3 linked regions of the Arabidopsis thaliana genome follow. The protein of the gene in region 3 interacts with the protein of the main gene of each other region in a biochemical or structural test. Each region holds a gene or a part of one and is shown on either strand. Other genes may lie near its edges.

Region 1 (5,741 bases), about 17 Mb from region 3:
ATTGTGAAAAGATTCCAATTGAACAAAAGAATGGACGTTCTTTCTTCTCAGATCAACTCTGTCCGCCTCTTAAAGGTAATACTGGTCCGCTCATACAAAATTATCTTGGGGTCGTTATATTCATTCGTCTTTGATGTTTTTTTTACAGAACCTGATGATTCGAGTTTGTTAAGCTATCAATTCTCAGAGCTATTGTAACCTTCGTTCTTCTTTCTCTCTTTTTAATTTCACTAAGGTGTTGGCCCGGTATGATCAAAGTACTTGCATGGAATTTGTGAAGAATGGGACTTTCAATGCGGTCACATGGCATTTGTTTCAGTTCACCTCATCTCTTGACTCATGGGTGAAGCTAGGGAAGCAGAACTGCAAGCTTTCATCTACCTTGATGGTTGAACAGCTCCGGTTTTGGAAGGTCTGTATCCATAGTGGCTGTTGCGTATCTCGCTTCCCAGAGCTATTCCCAGCTCTGTGTCTGTGGTTGAGTTGTCCATCATTCGAAAAGCTCAGGGAGAAAAATCTCATCAGCGAGTTTACTTCTGTGTCAAACGAGGCCTACCTGGTCCTTGAGGCTTTTGCCGAGACACTTCCTAATATGTACTCACAAAACATTCCACGGAATGAATCTGGGACATGGGACTGGAGCTATGTTAGCCCTATGATTGATTCAGCACTGAGTTGGATAACATTGGCCCCGCAATTACTCAAGTGGGAGAAAGGAATCGAAAGTGTCTCTGTATCAACTACTACTCTGTTGTGGTTGTATTCAGGTGTCATGCGTACAATTTCCAAAGTCCTTGAGAAAATCTCTGCGGAGGGAGAGGAAGAACCTCTACCATGGCTACCGGAGTTTGTTCCAAAGATTGGCCTTGCCATTATCAAGCACAAGCTTCTTAGTTTTTCTGTTGCAGACGTAAGTAGGTTTGGAAAAGACTCTTCCAGGTGTTCCTCTTTTATGGAGTATTTGTGTTTTCTAAGAGAACGATCTCAAGATGACGAACTAGCATTAGCTTCTGTGAATTGTCTTCATGGGTTAACACGGACTATCGTGTCCATCCAAAATCTGATAGAATCTGCTAGATCCAAGATGAAAGCTCCGCATCAGGTAAGTATTTCCACTGGAGATGAATCTGTGCTTGCAAATGGGATACTGGCAGAGTCTCTGGCTGAGCTAACATCTGTGTCGTGCTCTTTTAGAGATTCTGTTTCATCAGAATGGCCCATCGTGCAATCAATTGAGCTACATAAACGAGGCGGATTGGCCCCCGGCGTTGGACTTGGTTGGGGAGCTAGCGGTGGTGGGTTTTGGTCAACCAGAGTTCTGTTGGCACAGGCTGGTGCCGGTCTTCTGAGTCTCTTTCTTAACATCTCTCTGAGCGACTCGCAGAATGATCAGGGATCTGTTGGCTTTATGGATAAAGTAAACTCCGCTTTAGCTATGTGTTTGATTGCAGGTCCAAGGGATTATTTACTCGTGGAAAGAGCCTTTGAATATGTCCTTAGACCGCATGCTTTAGAACACCTGGCCTGCTGTATCAAGTCAAACAAAAAAAACATATCGTTTGAATGGGAATGCAGCGAAGGGGACTATCATCGTATGAGCAGTATGCTTGCTTCTCACTTCAGACATAGATGGTTACAGCAAAAGGGAAGATCGATAGCCGAGGAAGGGGTCAGTGGGGTAAGGAAGGGCACAGTTGGTCTGGAGACTATTCATGAGGACGGTGAAATGTCAAATAGTTCAACTCAGGATAAAAAATCAGACTCCTCGACCATAGAGTGGGCTCACCAGAGAATGCCCCTACCTCCACACTGGTTTCTCAGCGCCATCTCAGCAGTCCACAGTGGTAAAACCTCAACAGGGCCACCAGAATCCACAGAGTTGCTTGAAGTTGCAAAAGCTGGAGTTTTCTTTCTTGCAGGACTTGAGTCATCGTCTGGTTTTGGATCGCTTCCCTCTCCTGTTGTGAGTGTACCGTTGGTTTGGAAGTTTCACGCTTTGTCTACCGTATTGCTTGTTGGAATGGACATCATCGAAGACAAGAACACTAGGAACTTGTACAATTATCTGCAGGAGCTTTATGGGCAGTTTCTTGATGAAGCGAGACTAAATCACCGTGACACTGAGCTTCTGAGGTTCAAGTCAGACATTCATGAGAACTACTCTACTTTTCTGGAGATGGTGGTGGAGCAGTATGCTGCGGTGTCATATGGTGATGTAGTGTATGGCCGGCAGGTCTCGGTTTACCTGCATCAATGCGTGGAACACTCTGTTCGGCTTTCGGCATGGACAGTGCTCTCCAATGCCCGTGTTCTCGAGCTTCTGCCGAGTCTAGACAAGTGCTTGGGAGAAGCGGATGGTTACCTCGAACCTGTTGAGGTAATTTACAAAAATAATAAAATGTTGATAGTGGTGAATAATGGCATCTTGAGCATCCAACTAAGATAAAATGGTGAATTGATATTGCAGGAAAATGAGGCCGTCCTTGAGGCCTACCTGAAGTCATGGACTTGTGGGGCATTGGACAGAGCTGCGACGCGTGGATCAGTAGCCTATACGCTGGTTGTGCATCACTTTTCATCTTTAGTCTTTTGCAACCAAGCCAAGGATAAAGTATCCCTGCGGAATAAGATTGTCAAGACTCTTGTCAGGGATTTATCAAGAAAGCGGCATCGTGAGGTAACTTGAAATCCCTCATCTCTTGTTCAATGTCATTCTGGGGACTGAGGATGATAATGAAACGTGGAAATAATGTTTCAGGGGATGATGTTAGATCTCCTGCGGTATAAGAAAGGGTCTGCGAACGCCATGGAAGAAGAAGTGATAGCAGCGGAGACAGAGAAAAGAATGGAGGTGTTGAAAGAGGGTTGCGAAGGGAACTCCACCCTCCTCTTGGAACTGGAGAAGCTGAAATCAGCCGCTCTCTGTGGAAGAAGGTGAACGAGAGAATGAGAGGAAAGAAAGTCTGTGTGTTTCTTTCTCTGTTTTGAGGTTCTCTTACAGATGAAAAGCTGTGTAATTAAAAATCGATGTTCTTCTTCTGTTCTTGTAAGATTTTGGATTTTTCCAATTTCTGACAAAGTTCAATTAAAAAACTTGACTGACATTTTGAAAGCGACGTGTCTGTCTTAGAAATCAATCATATATTGGCACTTCCTATCAAGAGAGTTTGGCTGAACCCAATTTTACTAAATTATCATTATCTCAAACACAACAAGGATAGATCATCCTCATAGGCGATGTTGTTTAGTGGTTCAGCGATCCCATTAAGCAGCTTCTGCTCTCTTCCGGAGAAACCCCACACTCTTCCTATGAAACTCTCTCCCGCTGCAATCCGATCTTCATCCTCATCTGCCCCGGGGTCGTTGAACTTCGATCTGAGGACGTATTGGACGACTCTGATCACCGAGATCAACCAGAAGCTGGATGAGGCCATACCGGTCAAGCACCCTGCGGGGATCTACGAGGCTATGAGATACTCTGTACTCGCACAAGGCGCCAAGCGTGCCCCTCCTGTGATGTGTGTGGCGGCCTGCGAGCTCTTCGGTGGCGATCGCCTCGCCGCTTTCCCCACCGCCTGTGCCCTAGAAATGGTGAGATAGATTCCACTCTCTCTCGCCTTGTAATCTCAATTTCGCCGTTAGTGTTTGATATGAGTGAGTAAGAAGAAGAAATAGAAAGTCTTTGTTGTTGTTGTTGAGAGATGTGTGTGTTGTATCTAATAATGGAATGAATCAGGTGCACGCGGCTTCGTTGATACACGACGACCTCCCCTGTATGGACGACGATCCTGTGCGCAGAGGAAAGCCATCTAACCACACTGTCTACGGCTCTGGCATGGCCATTCTCGCCGGTGACGCCCTCTTCCCACTCGCCTTCCAGCACATTGTCTCCCACACGCCTCCTGACCTTGTTCCCCGAGCCACCATCCTCAGACTCATCACTGAGATTGCCCGCACTGTCGGCTCCACTGGTATGGCTGCAGGCCAGTACGTCGACCTTGAAGGAGGTCCCTTTCCTCTTTCCTTTGTTCAGGAGAAGAAATTCGGAGCCATGGGTGAATGCTCTGCCGTGTGCGGTGGCCTATTGGGCGGTGCCACTGAGGATGAGCTCCAGAGTCTCCGAAGGTACGGGAGAGCCGTCGGGATGCTGTATCAGGTGGTCGATGACATCACCGAGGACAAGAAGAAGAGCTATGATGGTGGAGCAGAGAAGGGAATGATGGAAATGGCGGAAGAGCTCAAGGAGAAGGCGAAGAAGGAGCTTCAAGTGTTTGACAACAAGTATGGAGGAGGAGACACACTTGTTCCTCTCTACACCTTCGTTGACTACGCTGCTCATCGACATTTTCTTCTTCCCCTCTGATTTTGGGCCCTCTTTTACATTTGGGCCTTCCTTCGCTATACGAAATTAGGCCCTGTAATGGACTGTGTATCGTTCATTTTTAGCCCAGAGCTTCTTCGCTTGACCATTCATCTTCGCTACCACCTGTCATTATCATTGTTTTTTTTTTGTGTCGGCCATGTCAAAATCATTTAGTTACTACATGTACTTTTAACCAAATTTATAGCAATCTACTATGTATGTATTTATTTATTTATTTTGACCAAAATTCCCAACTTTTAGACTAGTTGAATTGTTTAGTGTTTGAATAAGTGTTTTATCACCCCCCCCCCCCCCAAAAAAAAAAAGACGTTTCACAACATGCGAGTACATTTCCTCCAAGATAATTGCGAATGCGACAATTAGTATAGTTCTAAATGAAGACCTAAGCCAAGTCTATGCTTTTAACAACTCTTTCCACTATTAATCGTTGGCCATCTTATCCAATATATCTACATCATTTGCTATACTATATACATATATCCACGTTTAATATTTTCTTTCAAACAAGAAATAAATATCTTCAGTCTCTTTCATTCGGATTTCGGATTATAATCACACTTAATTTGGCTATCATACGAGGATTGAATAATCCGAGTTTGCGTACACAACATGTTTATTGGACTAAATGAATTATATTTGTGCCAATCCATATTTGGGTTGCTTACTTTTTCATCATGATATTATTTCTGAACTTATCTACCTAATGTTTGTATAAACTAGCTAATCCCATATTCCCATTCTTTATATCAACATGCTGAATAAGTGAATTATATCATTGTTTTAAGTGGGACTAATATATGCATTATGCAGAGCACATCTTTGTTACTCTTTTGAACGAATAAGTTGTTTCAAGTATTTTCTGTACGTGTTCAATCGGATATTTTCGACAACTAACATGTTATTTTCGTTCACCGCTTCATTAAATCTAAAGCTTTAGTTGAATAAGCAGTTGCTAGCTGAATTACATCAAGTGATACCTTTATATGTTTTAGAAATTCAATTAATGCAGTTGAAAATGTGTAGGCTTATTACAACTATATTATCGGGACAATATGGACACCATCAGAAATTGATGTCCCGATTCAATGAATTAACGTGTAGACTTACAACTATATATCGGGACAATGGACACCATCGGGAATTGATGTCCCGATTCAATGAATCTGTTAAACTCTTTTACACATTTGTTTAAATTTTCATAATCAATCAATGGATCGTGTAATCATACTAATTAGTAAACTACATATATAATTAAGTCTGGCTCATGCAAGATAATTTATAACAAACAAAAAACTTATTTAAGTGTTTCTCTAACATTGGCCGTATCCGTTAGCATGATCCTTGACCGACGGTGTGT
Region 2 (7,335 bases), about 15 Mb from region 3:
TGGATTTATATGATTATTTTGGTACAAGTTTTTATTTCAAATTTTTCTGTAAATCTTTTTCACATTGAGACAACAAAAATTATGCTTTCGCTAAATCCGACACATATTTGTCATAATTTTACCCAAAAAACTAAATTCCGTTGAAATTGTATAAAATTTCGTAGTGAAAGTATAAAAACATAAATAGAAACATAAACCACAACGGTCTTTGGAAATCTTGTCAAAATCGTTCATATCTCCTGTCTATCGGCCAAAGCCATATTGTGTCAGTAATATTTTTCCCAATCCAAAATAGAATTTATTTTAAAAAATACTAATAATGTTATTTATCCACTATGCCTATATCCAGAGTGAATAGGTAAAATAAATGGTACAAAATAGTTTGAAACTAAAAGAAAATAACGAAGATAAGAAGACAATAATGATATCAGTTGCTAAGGCAGACATATCTCATCTATAACTCAAAATCATTCACGTTGTGTTACAGTACAAGAGACACTGTCACATAGGTCGACCAACCATGCATGCTTCCATTTTCTTAATAAAAACGTTGCAAATTGTAACTGCTTGTTTTCTTCTTCCTTTTTTTAAAAAAATTAAAAACATTGAGTATTTTTTAAAGTAGGAATAATATTAATTTCAATGAACAAGAACAACTATCAAGTACTGGTTCATTATCAATTTATTATTCGAAAAATATTTAGAAAAGAAAAAAAACGAAGATGCGTGAATAAGCATCTTTTTTAATTTAAAGCGAATTACCGTACGTATGTCCTTCTGAACATATAACATGCATATTAAATTATTAATGAATGTGTTCCATCTACATTTATGCTGTTTTTGTATTTTTTGTGAAAATGGGAATATCATCTTATTTCCATATAGTTCAAGTCTTCAAGATATGCCCCATCTATTTACTTCAGTTTGATATTATCAAGTACCCACTTTAATCTGTATAGTACTACAGAATATCGATTTCTTTATCTTTTGCATAGCCTATATGTTGTTTAGTTGTCAACTTCTCCAAATTAGTTTAACAATTTTGTTTCTAGTATTATTAGAAAAACAAACAAAAAATACTAGAGAGAGTAGATAAAATACTGATTGATGAAAATGTTTTTTTTTTTTTTTTTCACTTTTGTTTAGAAATTTAGTCTTTTGCATATCAAAGATTCAAAGTGTACTCATTGAGACAAAGTTGGGCCAACTCAATAGCAAGCAAAACATCTTAATCTTATTCTTCAACATTTTTTGTTTGACATTTTTGTAGCAGAAACCATGCAAATAGATATATAGTATCACATTGCGTACACAATCTCTCCGCTACTGTCGATGTCAAGATCATCAAGGTCGCTCTCTAAGTCTTCCTCCATATCGTCATCTATGTCCAAGCTTCCTGTTTATCCATTAATGATAAGTTTTTCAAACATTGAGAAGCATTAAAAAAGACAAGAAATCGAAAAGTTTATGTTTTGTGTTGTCTCACCTGTGAGGTAATGGTTCAGATTCTGAGTGCCTGCAGGAGGAACAGTTGCTTCTGCAATGATCTGCATAATTTCTTCTATGCTTTGGCCCGGTTGATCCGATTCATCAAACTGAGTGGTCATCGTGTTATCGTTCATTAGATCTGCCGGTAGATTCTTTAGAAACCATTCATGGTTCCTTATTTCAGGAATTGATATCCTCTGCCAAGAAACCAACCAAGAGGGCCAAAATGCAAAGTTCTCTTTTCAGTCATACTATAAAGAAAATTCACAAATAAATCAACAAATGCAGCTTTCATGATCCTTCCTTTACCTTTGCAGGGTCAGCAACAAATATTCTGGAGATCAAATGGCGACATTCAGGAGATATGTGAACATAATCCGGAATAGCATACTGAACATTCAGGATTCTCTGAGCAAATATTTTCACAAGAGAACAGATAGTTTAGCTAGCAAGTAATAAAATCCATAATTACATTTTTCAACTATTGAAGCATGAAGAAAGTGAAAGGCTCACATGTATAGTTTTCCTGAAATTCTTTGGTTCCTCGGGATCTTCGAAAGGATATGCTCCAACCAGCATGACATACAGAGTAACCCCACAAGACCAAACATCTGCAACCTGAAAAAAAAGAAGAACATTAGGATGCATTTGACTAATTCAACCAAAACTCAAGAATTATCAGTTTACAAATCAGACTCTTAATAGCTTTCTTCACCAAAATTCTTGAAGAGCCAAGATTGTTTTATTTGTGTGAGCTTTCATCAAGAGAAAGCATGTTTCCCCTATCTATAATCAGAGGATAAAAATACAAAGATTGTTCTTTCTATAAGATATGGTTATCATACTAGTTTGGGAACTATGAAAATGGAGTACCTTTCCATCATATTCTTTCTTTAGTAAAACCTCAGGAGCGATGTAAGCAGGAGTTCCAACAGTTGATTTTGGTTGCGAATGTAACACTGATGACTGAAAAAGAAAACACAAAGCTTAGAGATACTAACTAACTCAGAGTTTCTGAAATGTTTTCAAAGATACCTTAGAATATCCGAAATCACATATCTTTAGACGAGGGGCCGGGCTACCATCTAATAACGTATTCTCGAGCTTTAAGTCTCGGTGACATACTTGCTACAACATAAAATTTAACTTCTTAAGTCAGCTGAATTTCACAGAGGATGAAGCATTGATTTGATAGAGAGCATTTTTCATTACCATAGCATGACAGTAACTAACTCCTGAAATGAGTTGCTGGAAGAAAAACCTCGCCTACATGATAGTAAACGATATATTAGCCTCAGCATTTTGAATCTTCGATTAATCATCAAAGCAAGAAAAAAAAGAGAGAACAACCTCGTCTTCGCTGAAGCGGCCTGCATTGCAGATTCGCTCGAAAAGTTCTCCTCCAGATGCATATTCCATAACAATGGCTAAATGGGTTGGTGTTAATATAACCTGAAGCAATCCTAAGGATTAAATTATAGAATTCCTTTTTTTTCCTGAAAATGTTAATAATAAGAAAACAGCTTAAAAGAGAGTTGAAAACAAACCTCTTTGAATCTAACGATATTGGGATGTCTTAAGGACCTGTGGTTGATTATCTCCCTTTTTACATTTTCATCTATCTGTACAAATACAAAAAGTCCCACCATTAATACCACGTTCCATAACAAAAGAAACACCTAGAGCCTTTAAAACAACACTATACAACATAAGTCATAAAGCAAAGCAGAGCAAATTTGGTCTTCCATAAAAATCAATCAATTTTGTAAATCTATAGGGTTAAACCATTCATAACCATAAAGTAACCAAACACACATCTCTCATTGGATGATGAACACACAAAAATGATTTCTTTTGAATTCAAGAACCTAGTGAATTGAAACATAAAATAAAATTGGACTAAGGAGAAAAAACAAGAAGAAAATAAACTGACCTTCTCACCTCTCTCGATATATTTAACAGCAACAAGCTCATTACTTTGCTTGTCTCTCATCAATCTCGCAACTCCAAAATTACCGGAGCCAATATCCTTGACGAGTTCATACCTATCACTATCGTGCATAATCGGCAAATCCATTGGACCACTCACTGCTGGTCGATCCATTTTCTCCCCCTCTTTCCTCTGTCTCTTTGCGACTTCAATCTCTGTGTCAAGAAGATTTCTTTTTTGGGAGACAATATCTAACGACACCAAGACATCAGAGGAAATGAACAACGGTGTGACGTGGATGAATTTGAGCCTTTAAGATGAGAAAAGGAGTATTGGGTGATCAAGTTATGGTTGTGAGAAAGAGACGTTTTCAGAGACCCGTGAAGTATCTAACCAACAACACAAGTGGGTTTCTTGAGATCCTTTTTGTTCCTTTGATCGCTCTCGATGAAGAAGAAGAAGAAGAAGGAAGGCTCGTGATCTTGAACTCTGTTTCTCTCTCTCTGTCTCTCTCTCTATCAGCTTTCCTTTTCTCTGTCAATATAAAAAGGAAACAGCTTTCTCTGTTCTGTTTAAACCACAGCTTGAAGTAAGCTATACAAAACAGAAAGATGAGAGAGATAGAAGAAGTTTTCGCTTTTTCTGTGAACTGTTGAATTGTGATTTGTCAAAGCATGGGAGATAGTTTGAAATGACGGATTTACCCTTTCTACTTACAACGTTCTGACAAACAATGGGGCCTGTAGTTTTTAGAAATGTTTTTTTTTACCGTGACTAGTATAGAAAATAATATTTTAATTAGTATAAACTTTCTTTTTATTGGCAAAGTATTAGTATAAACTATGTGATTTGTTACTCTTTATTTTTCAGTAAGTTTTATCTCTCCATAATATTATGCATTAATTTTTTCCGATTTATTATATGTCTTATTGTAAATAGTATAGCAAAAAATATGAAAATATTAATTGATTAAATTTATGCCTAGAACAGTTACTAAAAATATCTAAGTTTTCAAAAATATAGCACTAGAATGGTATGAGATTTAAAATAACAGATTTTGAATTGATTTTATATCCCAATTTAATTTAATCAAACACAGTGAAAAATGAAATAGAAATAATTTAAATTAACAATTAGTTTTTCTGTTAGTGGATCTATATATTAATATCGTAATATGTCCCTTACATATGTACATTTTTGGCTACTGGATTAATTTTGCCCCTTAAATATGTCCTGAAACGGAGCTGATGAAACATATACTCGCATTAAACAAGCTTATGGCTAATCATGGGAACCTCCATGTATTAATGACCACTAAAAAGATTTACTTTCTATTTCGGTATATAAAAAGGGTTTCCGCATTTAAAAACGGAAAATAAAAGAAAAACAAGTTACCACAAATGTCGAGATATTGTTGGCTAGCTTGTCAGATCTTCACCTAAAAGCTGAAACCGATAGAGTTGCACTCATCATCACTATAGCCCATCATTTTTACTATCTAAAGTTTTTGTTTATGCGCATCCACATGACGATTTTGCTGCAAACTTTTTTTTTAATCATCTTTTAAAAACATATATCCGTACTTAATATTCCCAATACACTCTTCTAGAGCTCGATCATTCCATGGACGTGAACATTTTGTCTTTGTTTCTCTTCCCTTTAGTCAAACAAACATTTTGTCCTTGTTTCAAACTAAAATCGATTTCTTCTAAATAAAGGAAATTCATTGACTAAACGAATGATTTTAGTGAATGAATGAAAATTTCTCATTGTGAAGCCTCTGTTTCTCTATTTACTTTTTTACTATTTAGAGTACCTTTCACCGAAATTTTCAATCAATTCCTTTCAATTTTACTACATGTTCAAGCATTCGAACAAAAGCAATCGTTGCAAAAAAGACTAGATCGGAATGCCTTCTACCCAAAAGAGAGAACTCAATGCAAACTGTTTATGAAATTTTTGAAAAAAAAAACTGGATTCATTCCGGTTGTTGCGAGTACCAACCAATGGAGAAAGATTGACCTTAGTTATTGTAGTTATCAAGGCCAAGGTCTCTCAGTGCATCAGTTGCAGCGGCTCTGCATGTCTCATTGTTGGCTTTAGCAGTTCTTATCAGCTTCTCGATTCCATTAGCAAGCAGAATAGTTCTGTAGTGTGCATGCAGACAGAACTTGATATTATAAAAGAGTTTGCGATATGTGCATATTGTTGGATGACAAGAATTGGAAACAGAGCAAAAACCTGTTCTCTGCACTTCTGACAGCAATGTTCCGTATCATGTTGCAAGCGTTTCTCTGCATTTGAGCAGCTACTGGGAACCTCTTCATTGCTTGGACCGCTAGATCACCAGCTCCAGCTTCTATAGCCTTGGCTGCGTGGTCTGGTGATCTCAGACAGATTATAGAGATTATCAACATCACCTGAACCAATCAAGTATATCTTGGATCAACCACAAGGATTATGCACTCAGACCCTAATGCTACAAGAAACATTCTTCACACGACATTACGTTCTATCTAGTGGAAAACTGCCAAAGACGTGACCTGTAGTCACAAGTATCTTCTCTAGACAGGAAGATTTAAAATTGCGCATGGGACATAGTGTCATAAGAGGGTTTTCGTTTGGTTTATATACTTACCTCTTGTATGACTAGAGGATCATCAGAGAATCGTAGTGCGAGTGTGATTAGCTTGTCCAGACCTTGCTTCTCAACTATGGTACTCTTGTTAGAGTCACTTCCTGCCAACTAGAGATCAAAATACAAATTTTAGATAAACATTTATCATGCGTGGTTACAATGCTAATCTAAATCAGTAATAGGCTTTGGAAAAGCTTAAAATTTGAGAACATGCATTTATTAGAAGCACATGAACATAAGCTACTCCTTAATATGGTGCGGAAAATACTTGAAAGCCTGAGTTTTAAAGAAGGATTTTGAATAACCAAAGGCAATGAAGACAACAGAGGCAGCCTGCAGGGCATATTAGAAGCTACTCACCTTAGACAACAGGGAACAACATGTCTTAGCAGCAGTTTTGTTGCCTTGCTCACCGCTATCATCAATACACCGAAGAAGTGTATCTATTCCACCGGATTCAGCAATAGATTTACATATTTCATCCTGTTTACAGCAAAACCAGATGAAGAACTTGCAAGAACCTAACCAGATAAATGTTATCACACAGAGATTTCAACTAGGAGACTTACATTGACAGCAATTGCTTTTAACGCAGTACTTGCTGACACCAAACTATCAGAGCCAATCCCTGCCTGTAATGCTTCAGTGAGGGCTGTCGCAATCCCTAATTTGGCAAAAGTTCGTGCATAACCATAAACCTGAAACACATGGAAGCAAAAGTCTAGTGGATTTGAATTCTCAAAGCATGTCCATGAATAAGCACAAAAAACAACGATTATAAATGTTTGCTAAGTGCTATATAGCTGTTTTCCCTTAATTTCATTCCCGCAGTCAAAAGTGGCATATACCAAACGAATGTAACCATACTTACTTGGGAAGCAACAACACGGAAGTCATCTGGAGTCAAAAGAGCACAAATAGCATCGTACAGAGCTCTAATGGTAGTTTTACTCTCTCTATTCAACACTTGCAGAATAAGTTCATCGATTTTCAGTTCCATGAATAACTGTTTCACAACTTCATTACCAGTTGCTGCAGCAGCAACAACCGCAAAACCAGCATCTAACAAATCAGAATCGGAGCTGGAATCATTTAAGAGATCAACAACGATATTTGGTCCAGTACAATTCCTGAATCTCTCTGTGCTCTGAATGTCTGCAATTGAATAACACATGATCAACACAAATCAAAGTTAAAACACACAAGAACGACTAATTCAAGAACAGAAGTCATACCACGGATCAACACAGCCAAAGCCTTAAAGCAAGGAACAAGAACA
Region 3 (9,943 bases):
GTCTCTCCCTCTCTTTACATAAGGTAGACTTTTTTTTAATGTTTATGTTACTGTTTGTTGAAAAGTCCTTGTTTGTGTTCTTGGAACAGTTGAGTACAAGCCCAGAAGAGAATACAGAGGTGGAAGCATTCAATTCATCATTGGCTTCTCTTATCACATCAGGTCTTGTACTTGTACTTGTACTTAACTTTTTCATTCACAAGAATCAAAATTGTCATTAAAACATTGCAGTGATCTCTTTGAAATGTGGTTTTGATTCCTTTTTTCGCAGTGAACAAGAACGATATAGAGTCATCGAAGCTCGCTTTCGTTTCATCAGCTGGTGCATTTGAGAAATGGACTACTTTGACAGGTCTTTTGGAACAGCTTAAGGGACTGTGATAGGCTGGCTACAAATTCTTTACTCTTTTTTTGTATTTTCCAACAGATTTGTCAAAGAGGGTCTTTTTTTTCTCCAAATAATCCTTTGAATAATCATCATTCACTTTCTTAACTTCTTTGGTTATTATTTACCTTTATACATTTTGTTCATACTTACTATGCATCAATATCAACAAGGTTGATTTTTCCATCGAATTCCACCACACCAAAAGGAACCAAGAAACCATACCAAAACTTCTTTGGTTATTTATCTGAAACTAATTCAAAAAGATCTGATCAGTAAACCTTTGTTCTATTGAATCTCACATTAAGAGAAACCCTTTTAACTTGAGAAGGCATACAGATATAGAGCATCACAAAATCCCCGAAACAAAACCGAACCAGTCATAACCAAGAAGGGGGAAAGCTACTAGATGAAGCTAGTAGGTGGAAGTTTGAGTCATTTGGCCTATTACTACGCACTAGTTATGATCTTTTCTCTGATACATTGAATACTTTATTAAAAACCATTACATAACCAATGTAAAAGCAAATATTTAAACGTTAAACAGTCCAATTCAGCTTTGAAAAATCCTCCCAGAAGAAGAAGACTAGTCAATATTGGTTGCGATGGCCTTGTAGAGGCATTATTATCTGTTAGATAATATTAAACATTAATGAGAAAGTAGAAATGCTTCTGTATAAATACCTTCATTACTTGTGTCTTATTTCATCACCTTCACCTTCAACATCAAACATCACATTTCTTCCTCTTTTCTCTCTTTTTTCTCAGTCTTCAAAGAGTTTCTTAGTAACCCAAATCAATGGCAGGTATCAAAGTTTTCGGACACCCAGCTTCCATTGCCACCAGGAGAGTCCTCATCGCCCTCCACGAGAAAAACCTCGACTTTGAGCTCGTTCATGTCGAACTCAAAGACGGTGAGCACAAGAAGGAGCCTTTCCTCTCCCGCAACGTAAGTATATCTATATATCTATGTGTTGTTGTAAGACAAGAGACCAACTGTTTTCATGTATCTGGCCTGCATCTCAAATGTTTTGTGTTTGAACTTCTTTCCTCTTCAGCCTTTTGGTCAGGTTCCAGCCTTTGAAGATGGAGACCTCAAGCTCTTCGGTATGAACCTTTTCCATGCATCATCTTCAATCTCAACTCTGAGTTGACAAAAGCCATTAGAGAGCAAAATCACTAATAAGAATTGGATTTTTTTATTTTTATTTTGTGTAGAATCAAGAGCGATTACTCAGTACATAGCTCACCGATATGAAAACCAAGGAACCAACCTTCTCCAAACCGACTCCAAGAACATATCTCAGTACGCAATCATGGCCATTGGAATGCAAGTAGAAGATCACCAGTTCGACCCAGTGGCTTCAAAGCTTGCTTTTGAACAAATATTCAAGTCCATCTACGGCTTGACCACAGACGAAGCCGTTGTTGCAGAAGAGGAGGCTAAGTTAGCCAAGGTCCTTGATGTCTACGAGGCTAGGCTCAAGGAGTTCAAGTATTTGGCTGGTGAAACTTTCACTTTGACTGATCTTCACCACATTCCCGCGATTCAATACCTGCTCGGAACTCCCACCAAGAAGCTCTTCACCGAGCGTCCACGTGTCAATGAGTGGGTGGCTGAAATCACCAAGAGGCCAGCTTCCGAGAAGGTTCAGTGAGAAATTTCTAAAAGGAAAATATGGTTTTGCTTCAGTCACAGTAATAATGCTAAGATTAAATAAGCGGCTTTCTCATTGCCCAATTTCTCAGTACTTTCTTTCTGTTGTATCCTCTGTTTTCTTTCAGTTATGTGAGTGTGTGTGTATGCTCTTGAGAGTATCTTTGGCAAAAACTATTTATCTAATCTTCAAGCTATTCTAAAATAAATCAATTAGTTAACTAATGCAAAGATTGCGATGTCTTAACTATGGAGATACTGACTAGTGAGAATAGTATGTAAGGACTTTAGTCTGGTGGAAATCTTACTTTGGAACGTTTCTCCTGGCGAAAGAAGTTGACTTAAGAAGACTTTGAACGTTCTTATCCTTAAAGTTTCCTTGCTTTGTCATGTCTGAAAATGACAAGTAAAATATAGACGTAAGCTTCAAATCAGACAAAACAAAACACATCAGATTTCTGGACCTATTCACCTCTCTATAAATAACAGAAACGGTTAGAGCAGCAAGTTTGTGTTTTTCACCATCAATTTTGTACCTTGACCGCCGTAAACGCAGGGTGAAGAAAGTCCACCTAGTGTTTATCTCCAACTGTTTGCTCGTCTCATTACTCTGATGACTTTGTGGCTACCCAAAGAATTGCGAGTAAAGCCAGCCATATATTTGCAGACTCTGGTCATCCTTTAAGTTAGAGGCTTTGCTACATCAAATATTCACATAAACCATAAAGATTAAGTCCACCAAGAAATATCCTTTATTCGGAGTTTTGTCTGCTAGTATCATCAAGTTTACTTCACCACGATACTCCAATAGTTTCCAGATATTATATAAGAATGAAAATCTATTACAAAGCATTTTTATAAAAAACATACCATTGCCTTCAAGGGACCAAGGAAGAACAGTAAGATCCTGGTGAAGAACACAATGAGATGAGGGTTCTAGTACAAAATCTTATCAACAGTTACAGGCTACGCACCTGCTTTAAAGATTCTTCACCGAGTGATTTGTATCTTCTGCAGAAATTTAGTAACAAATTAGCAAACTCAAACCAAGCAACATCATTAGCATGAGACGTAGACCAAAAGAAGACTGAACTAGATTCCATTATCTGAAGAACAGCAAGAGAAGCTGAGAAGGGCTAATGAAAGTGAAGAATTACTGATACATGATAAATTAAATCCGATGGGAACCTCTCAACAGAACCAAAATACAACTTTGATAAACTTCAACAAAGTTTTTATTAAAGTGGGGGAAAAACATGAACTAAAAACCAGTAATAAAAGAAAAGATCATTCTGCAGCATTCATCAGCATATTTAGTACATGCTGTACTTGTCGTTCGTCGCTTCGGGTCGAATGCTCTTGTAGATGGACATGGCAATTGGAAGAATGGCTGTGAGAGCGATTTGCAACTGATCCGAGCTGCTGGTTCTGACTGTGATCTGTCCGCTCATCTTGTTGTTAAGTCCTGCACGAAGCGCAATCTTTGAGTTCCTTCCAACAGAGACTTGAGATTGGAGATTGGCTCCAAGGGCTAAATCGCCTCTCCACTTTACCAGAGACAGCCCAAAAGAAGATTGGTCCTGTCCAATTGGGAAATCAGCTTCCCTAAGCCTGACCTCGAGGTTCGCACCATAGGCCGAATCTCCCTGTGATCGCATTGTCCCAGTGCTGCCCACAAGCACCAACCTTTTCCCCAGTGCTATTTGGTCCTCGAGTTTGACCCCAGTGGCGATGTTCTCTCCCAAGAATGTCACTGACCCTCCAACAGTTGTCTTGTTCTTCCTCAAATTCTTGAATTTGGTTTCTCCTCTGACCACATATGCCAGCTGCTTGCCTACATTCTGAATATCGAACCCTGCCATGGTGGATCCATTCTCCCCGTGCTTAGCAGACACAGAGGAGTCCAGATGAATGTTGAACTCTTTCTTGTCCTTGGTGACTTGGACAGTAGCTGTGGCAGGGAACCGGCTAGCTAGAGCAAGACTGTGTTCTGCATTGACGCCGTCATATCCACAGTCATGGTCCCAACCATGGGTATCCAACACTGGCCTGGTTAGGAGTTGTGAAGTGGGTTCCAGATATCGGTATCGGTAAGCTGAGTTATCACTATCAAATGAAGGTGGCAAAACCATATCGGGTAATGGAACTGGCACTGCAGCTGGAGCCCCGTTTTCTGGATCATCTTCTTCTCCCGGATAACCAAACTCACTTTCACCCAGCTTCTTCCCGTTTTTCTTCATTTCTTTCATCCTCTTTAATTCCTCTCTCCATTGCTTCTTCTGCAGGAGCTTTACACGGTAATCATACTCCTCGAAATATGCCTTTCTCTGTTCATTTGAGAGCTTTGCAAGTTGGGTTTTTCGAAGAGGCTTAAATGGTGGCAGCTGGTCATACTCATCATCTTCCCCATCTTCCTGCTCAGAATCAGACACATCATCAATTTCGATATCAGAGTCAACACTATCACCACCTTGGTCTCCAGGGAGCTTAGGATGTGCACGGGACTGCAACAGCCAAGACAACAAGTAAGGGAGAGGCGGGGATCTAACTCGGAAACCAAATACTTTACGATGGTCCAATGGTTCTTGAGGCCTCAATAGAGAATTTGTTTCTGACAAAACCTTCAGGGAGTAACACAATAGCAACAGCTGAGATCTCCAAGTTTGGCCATTCGGGAGAACCTTCACTCCCTCCCGGTTCTTCCTACACAAGGGGTGATTCTCAACAAGTGAAACTGGATTCATCAGACTTGGATTCATCAAGCGTAGATCTCCAACAGCCTGTCCTATAGACTGTTGCACAATATGTGAGCACTGCGCTACAAACACATCATAGCTCAATGGGGTGCCAGATGGGCCATCAGGAGGGGCAGAAGCCGCATGGGTCAATGTCACTATAGCGTTTTTCCATATGGATGTACCAAGAGAAGCAGTAATCGTCCTTAGCAAGGGCAAATTGTTCAAGTCCCTGGTCTGGGTGTCAAGACGATCTACATATAGTACAATATCAGGGGGACACTTCTTCATTACCTTCTTTACAGAGGACAACATTTTTGCATTTGTACTTTGATCCATCGCAGCAGACTTCAAACCCGGAGTATCAATAAAGGTAATCTTGACACCATTCACCGTTCCAGAAATTTCTCTAACCGAAGTGGTTGAGAGCCCAAAAGCATCAATGGACGCAATCTGGTTTCCCAAAATGGAATTTATAGTAGCACTTTTTCCCACCCCGGCTTTTCCAAGGACCAGTATGTTTAGGGAGAAGATCAATTCTTCGTTGCCCTCAGCCTCAGACTCCACAGCCTTCTTCTTTGCAGCATCAAGACTGAATAACTGCCCTGCTTGTCTCCCAGCAAGTAGTGCAAGACGGTAAAGAACCTGCGCTGCAATTGAATCTTCTGCCGAATGACCCAACCTTTGCAAAAGCCGCAAAAACTTCACACGGAGGCTTTGCAACTTTTCTAATTTCTGTTTCTCTTCCTCGCTCAAGTTAATCTCAGTCTCATCTGCCATTGTGACATTAGAATTGGAAAAGATGTTGGAACGGTTTGCACGTGGAGCTGCTGCAGGCTTCAAGGGCCTTAACGATGAACTCAAACCAGCAGGTCGATCCATAGAGAAAAGCTTCGTGCCATCCTGAGATGTTATGGTAAAATTGCCACCTTCTGAACTTCCACCACCAGTGGCTGCCTTCAAAAGCGCAGCCAAAGCTGCAGTATCAAACATTTTCTCCTCACCTTCATCCTCTGTGTCTACATCCTCGTCAGAATCGGTGACAATCTGGCCATCAATCCTATCTGACATATTGTTAGAAATGTTTGCTTCATCAGAATGTGCCTCTATACCAGAAGAAGCCTTTTCCAACTCTGCTAAGAACTGTTTTGCAGCTTCAGAACTCCCAAATATCATCTCTTCAGTTTCTTCTTCACTTTCAGACCCATCAACCCTGGTAACACCTTCGCCAGAAGGTTCCTGGTCCACTTCCTTGCCTCCAAAGCTAAACTCACGAGAAGAAACAATGTCTTCGACTGGGAGCTTGTTTTCATCCTCTTCAGCACTGTCCCCTTCGACAACTTTCCGAACCTCAAACTGTGACTCAGCTGCAGGAATTGAATCCTCTTCTGCATCAACTGAACCCACTTTTAAACTTTCAGAAACAGGCAATTCTTCTACTTCCACACCTACTTTTGGTTCGTCTGGCTCTACTTTGGCAGCCTCTGATATTTCCTTAACAGCCAATTCAAAATTTCCATCATATGCAGCAGTCAGGTCATCAGGTTCCTCAATATTTGAGATGGTCTTGTCAACCTCATCATCTTTATCATCTTCCTTAATTACAGCCTCCTTAGCCGCCCCGACAACCACAACCCCTGGCTCTGCAACATTGATATCAGCATCAACAGAGTCCACCACAGAGGAGTCAACCATAGAGTCTCCTTCACTAACCAACTTTCCTCCTCCCTCCTCTGTGGCTTTATCGGATTCAAGTTCAACTTCACCACCTTCACCTTGGCCAATTGGATCAAACTTATTATGCACATCAGGGATGTTGCCATCAGTTTCCAGCACCTCACTCACCTCTACGTCTCCAACAACAACAACCCCTGGCTTTGCCACATCTACATTCACAGCTTCAATAGCAGATGAGTCCACCACAAAGTCTCCTTTGTTGTTTAACTTAACACCTTCTTCTGCATCATCGACTATGCCACCGAGCACACTCTCCTCCTCTTTGGTTCCATTGTCAGCTACTGCACTAGCTGCCTTGATTACTTCAGCATAAGTCATACCCTTCTCCAATCCGTTGGCTTTTTCCACATCCTTTGGTTCACTCCCACTCTCGGCAGCTACAACCTCTGGCTCTACAGCACTGGTATCCACAGATTCTAACTTAGAGGAGTCTGCAATAGAGTCTGATTCGCTAGTAAATTTTTCTTCTACCTCCTCAATGGCCTTGTCAGACACAGGTTCAAATTCACCACTATCATCATCCCCAATTTGATCAAACTTATTAGCCACTTCAAGAGTTTCAGCATCAGCATTAATCTTCAACTCCTCACTTCCCTCTGCGTCTCCTACAACAACCACCCCTGGTTTTGCCACATCAACATGCACTGATTCTACAGGGGACGAGTTCACAATGACGTCTCCTTTATCAGTTAACTCCACACCCTCTTCTTCAATAACATTATCACTTTTATCGTCAACATCAACTTTTCCACCCAACTCACTCTCCCCCTCATCATCTTTTTTTGTTCCAACATCTTCTTCTTCCACATCCTTCACTTTACTCTCACTCTCCCCATCTGTGGAAGCCTGTTTCACATCAACATCAACACTCCCATTTTCAATCTTACTCTCACCATCGTCTTTAATATCCTCCACGTCCTCCTTAACCTTCTTATTCTCCTCCACAACCCCTACACCATCAGAAACAGCCTCCGGCTTCGGAGATAACGATGAAACATCATCTACACCAATTGTCTCACCAGAAACCACCTCAGGCTTCGGAGTAGCCTCAGGAGTAGTAGAATCCTCCTTTAAAGAACCATCCACCTCGTCGGAAACCTTCCCATCACCCACCAAATTCGGCTTCTCCTTCTCGGAGTCAGATAAATCATCAGCTCCAACCTTATCCGAATTACCAGACACAGCCTCCGATGAGGAATCCAACTCCTTGGCACTACTCACAGCACCACCATCCTCCTTATCGGCGGCTGCAGCAGCAGCGGCGGCGACAACAGAAGCATAGGTTTTTCCTGATAACAAAATATCCTTCCGATTAAAACCCTATTCCCAAAAACGCAGATTAAAGAAGATATAAACGAGAAAGAAGAAAAACCTGATTGCCCCGAAGAAGCGTAGAAGGGGTTGGTTGGTTCTGGAGTAACCGACTTTGAGTCCATTTCCGCTTTGCTACTGAGACTCTTTCTCCGCCAAACTTGTGGAGGAAGGAGATAGCGATAGATAGATAGGGTTTAAAGGAATTTACCCTTTTTTGTGTGAAGGTTTTTATGATTGAGAATTTGGCTGCTCTCTCTCTTTTGAAGAAGAGAGAATTGGGAGAGATAAGGTCACTCGGCGAACAAAAAATGACTCTTCGTTTTTCTTCTTTGCCTTGGGATTTTATCTTCTCAGTTTGTGTTTTGAGGATGATGATGAAATTACCGAATTACCCTCGCTTCTATGTTGGTGAAGTTTCCAAGAGGGCTCTCTTTTGTGCTACGCTTTAAACTGTGTCGCTTCATTGGCTCAAGCCAAAATATATAGAGTTTCTTTTTTTATTTGAGGAAGAAGTACAATAATCATTTGTGGTTAAAATTTGAAAAACATTGTATCATTTTAAAAAACAGTAATTTTTTTGTCAAGAATTTTCAATTTTTGTTGAGTAAATTTAGAATATTTTAGTCACTTTTTGGAAAGTATTTACTGTTTAATATTTTGTTTTTATTATGCACAATTCTCCAAATGTTAAAATCTTCCCCAATGGAAAATGTTTTGATGGGCTCACTAAATCTAGGGTTTTTGAACTCATGAGAATTAGGGTTTTGTTATATCTTCTCTTTACTAAAAACCAAAAAAACCACACAACAACAAAATAAAATAAAACATTTAAAATAAAAAACGAGATAACATTTTGAGATTTGGGTTTTATAAAGAAGAAAGAAATCTTTTTTGTATCTTTGTTGATCCTCCCTACCCGAAATTGCTTGGCCACAAACGATTTTCTCACCATTATCTACGAATTATCTTGGATTTTTGTATAACACGGATTCCATATATTAGGCCGTGATTTTAGTTTTCAGATGGGCTTTTATAAGGCCTCCCCCTAATAATAGCCCGTATACATGATTTTATTATCAATTAAAGACATTCAGATTTCAGATACAACAACCCATACTGCAAAAGAATCTGACCACATGCCAAATTTTGTTTTTCGAATTAAACTCCTAAACTACACAAAACTTGTGAATATGATCTCAGAACTATACTAACTCAATGTGATTTTTTCACATTTTGCATACTAAAAGTAAATAATTAGTTGAATGTGAAATCAGGTTAAAAAAAAGTTCTTGAATTAACACAGATTATTGATCCATGAAGCTACAAAATCTCAAGTTCTAATGGATTACAAAGAACAAAAAGGAAGAAAAACAACATTTTGATTTCGTAATAGAACTCTAGACGTAGAGACAAAGTAAAACCAAAGAATTAACTGATGTCTCTGCACAATACTTTATCATCCATCTTAGTACAACAACAAGCAAAGACACAAGACATAAATATAGCGAGAAACATAACACAAATCCTAAACGCAAAACCGATTCAAACTTGATTGGTTTGTACCTTAACCGCCTTAAACGCCGGATGAAGCAACCCGAGCTCGTCTTTCATCTCCAACGGATTGCTAGTCTCGTTCCGCACTCTCTTGACTTTACGACTAGCCAAAGATTTGTGAGTGAAACCATAGATTTGCAGAATCTGGTTATCTCCAAAGTTAAAGGCTCTGTCCATTTGTTTTAGACACCGTTCCACCGGGTAATCACCAAATTTCCCACACGGTTTGCAACCGACAAAGTGAGTCACCAATGGCCATCTGTGATCTCCTAGACCCGGGTGGTAGTTTTCTATCATTTCTTCATATCTGTCCACAAGAATCCCCCAGTAACCGTGAAGATAGTATCCACTTTCTAGGTACACCTATAACAACAATGCAGTGGCTCAAATGAGTAGCTCAACAAAATCCAAACCAAGCAAAGATTTGAGTTTACTTCAATAATAGACCCTTACACAGATGTCAGAAACCACAAGATGCAACTCACATTGTCATTTTTGATGATCAAGAGACATGATAAACCACAAAAAGCAACTCACATTGTTATTTTTGATGTTCAAGAG

What was found. The genes of interacting proteins can lie anywhere in the genome.
Region 1: the proteins of TOC159 (region 3) and GGR form a complex in vitro, tested with the Arabidopsis thaliana proteins (one study listed by BioGRID).
Region 2: of the proteins of TOC159 (region 3) and OST1, one has a biochemical effect on the other in vitro, tested with the Arabidopsis thaliana proteins (one study listed by BioGRID).

Annotation. Positions count from the first base shown.
Region 1 is NC_003075.7:17,991,612-17,997,352, forward strand, and holds GGR (geranylgeranyl reductase), read left to right. Parts: upstream 1-3,127; 5' UTR 3,128-3,237; coding exon 3,238-3,591; intron 3,592-3,736; coding exon 3,737-4,363; 3' UTR 4,364-4,611; downstream 4,612-5,741. Other genes in the region: IYO (RPAP1-like, carboxy-terminal protein), read left to right, coding at 1-75, 236-2,377, 2,468-2,677, 2,759-2,938. UniProt on the Arabidopsis thaliana protein: Heterodimeric geranyl(geranyl)-diphosphate (GPP) synthase small subunit. The small subunit alone is inactive in vitro while the large subunit GGPPS1 catalyzes mainly the production of geranygeranyl-diphosphate in vitro.
Region 2 is NC_003075.7:16,268,621-16,275,955, reverse strand, and holds OST1 (Protein kinase superfamily protein), read right to left. Parts: upstream 4,212-7,335; 5' UTR 3,593-4,211; coding exon 3,422-3,592; intron 3,111-3,421; coding exon 3,036-3,110; intron 2,941-3,035; coding exon 2,839-2,940; intron 2,755-2,838; coding exon 2,701-2,754; intron 2,617-2,700; coding exon 2,524-2,616; intron 2,455-2,523; coding exon 2,362-2,454; intron 2,107-2,361; coding exon 2,002-2,106; intron 1,897-2,001; coding exon 1,798-1,896; intron 1,686-1,797; coding exon 1,487-1,685; coding exon of another isoform or gene 1,440-1,486; exon of another isoform or gene 1,397-1,439; coding exon 1,299-1,396; 3' UTR 1,131-1,298; downstream 1-1,130. Other genes in the region: AT4G33945 (ARM repeat superfamily protein), read right to left, coding at 5,442-5,565, 5,660-5,838, 6,057-6,164, 6,417-6,539, 6,626-6,754, 6,928-7,211, 7,292-7,335.
Region 3 is NC_003075.7:1,102,773-1,112,715, reverse strand, and holds TOC159 (translocon at the outer envelope membrane of chloroplasts 159), read right to left. Parts: upstream 8,151-9,943; 5' UTR 7,951-8,150; coding exon 7,887-7,950; intron 7,804-7,886; coding exon 3,356-7,803; 3' UTR 3,017-3,355; exon of another isoform or gene 2,950-3,016; 3' UTR 2,913-2,949; exon of another isoform or gene 2,741-2,912; 3' UTR 2,579-2,740; intron 2,436-2,578; 3' UTR 2,351-2,435; exon of another isoform or gene 2,051-2,350; 3' UTR 2,044-2,050; coding exon of another isoform or gene 1,604-2,043; intron 1,531-1,603; 3' UTR 1,493-1,530; coding exon of another isoform or gene 1,444-1,492; 3' UTR 1,335-1,443; coding exon of another isoform or gene 1,185-1,334; 3' UTR 932-1,184; downstream 1-931. Other genes in the region: AT4G02530 (chloroplast thylakoid lumen protein), read left to right, coding at 90-162, 272-381; GSTF2 (glutathione S-transferase PHI 2), read left to right, coding at 1,185-1,334, 1,444-1,492, 1,604-2,043; XT2 (UDP-xylosyltransferase 2), read right to left, coding at 9,371-9,745. UniProt on the Arabidopsis thaliana protein: GTPase involved in protein precursor import into chloroplasts. Seems to recognize chloroplast-destined precursor proteins and regulate their presentation to the translocation channel through GTP hydrolysis. Required for chloroplast biogenesis.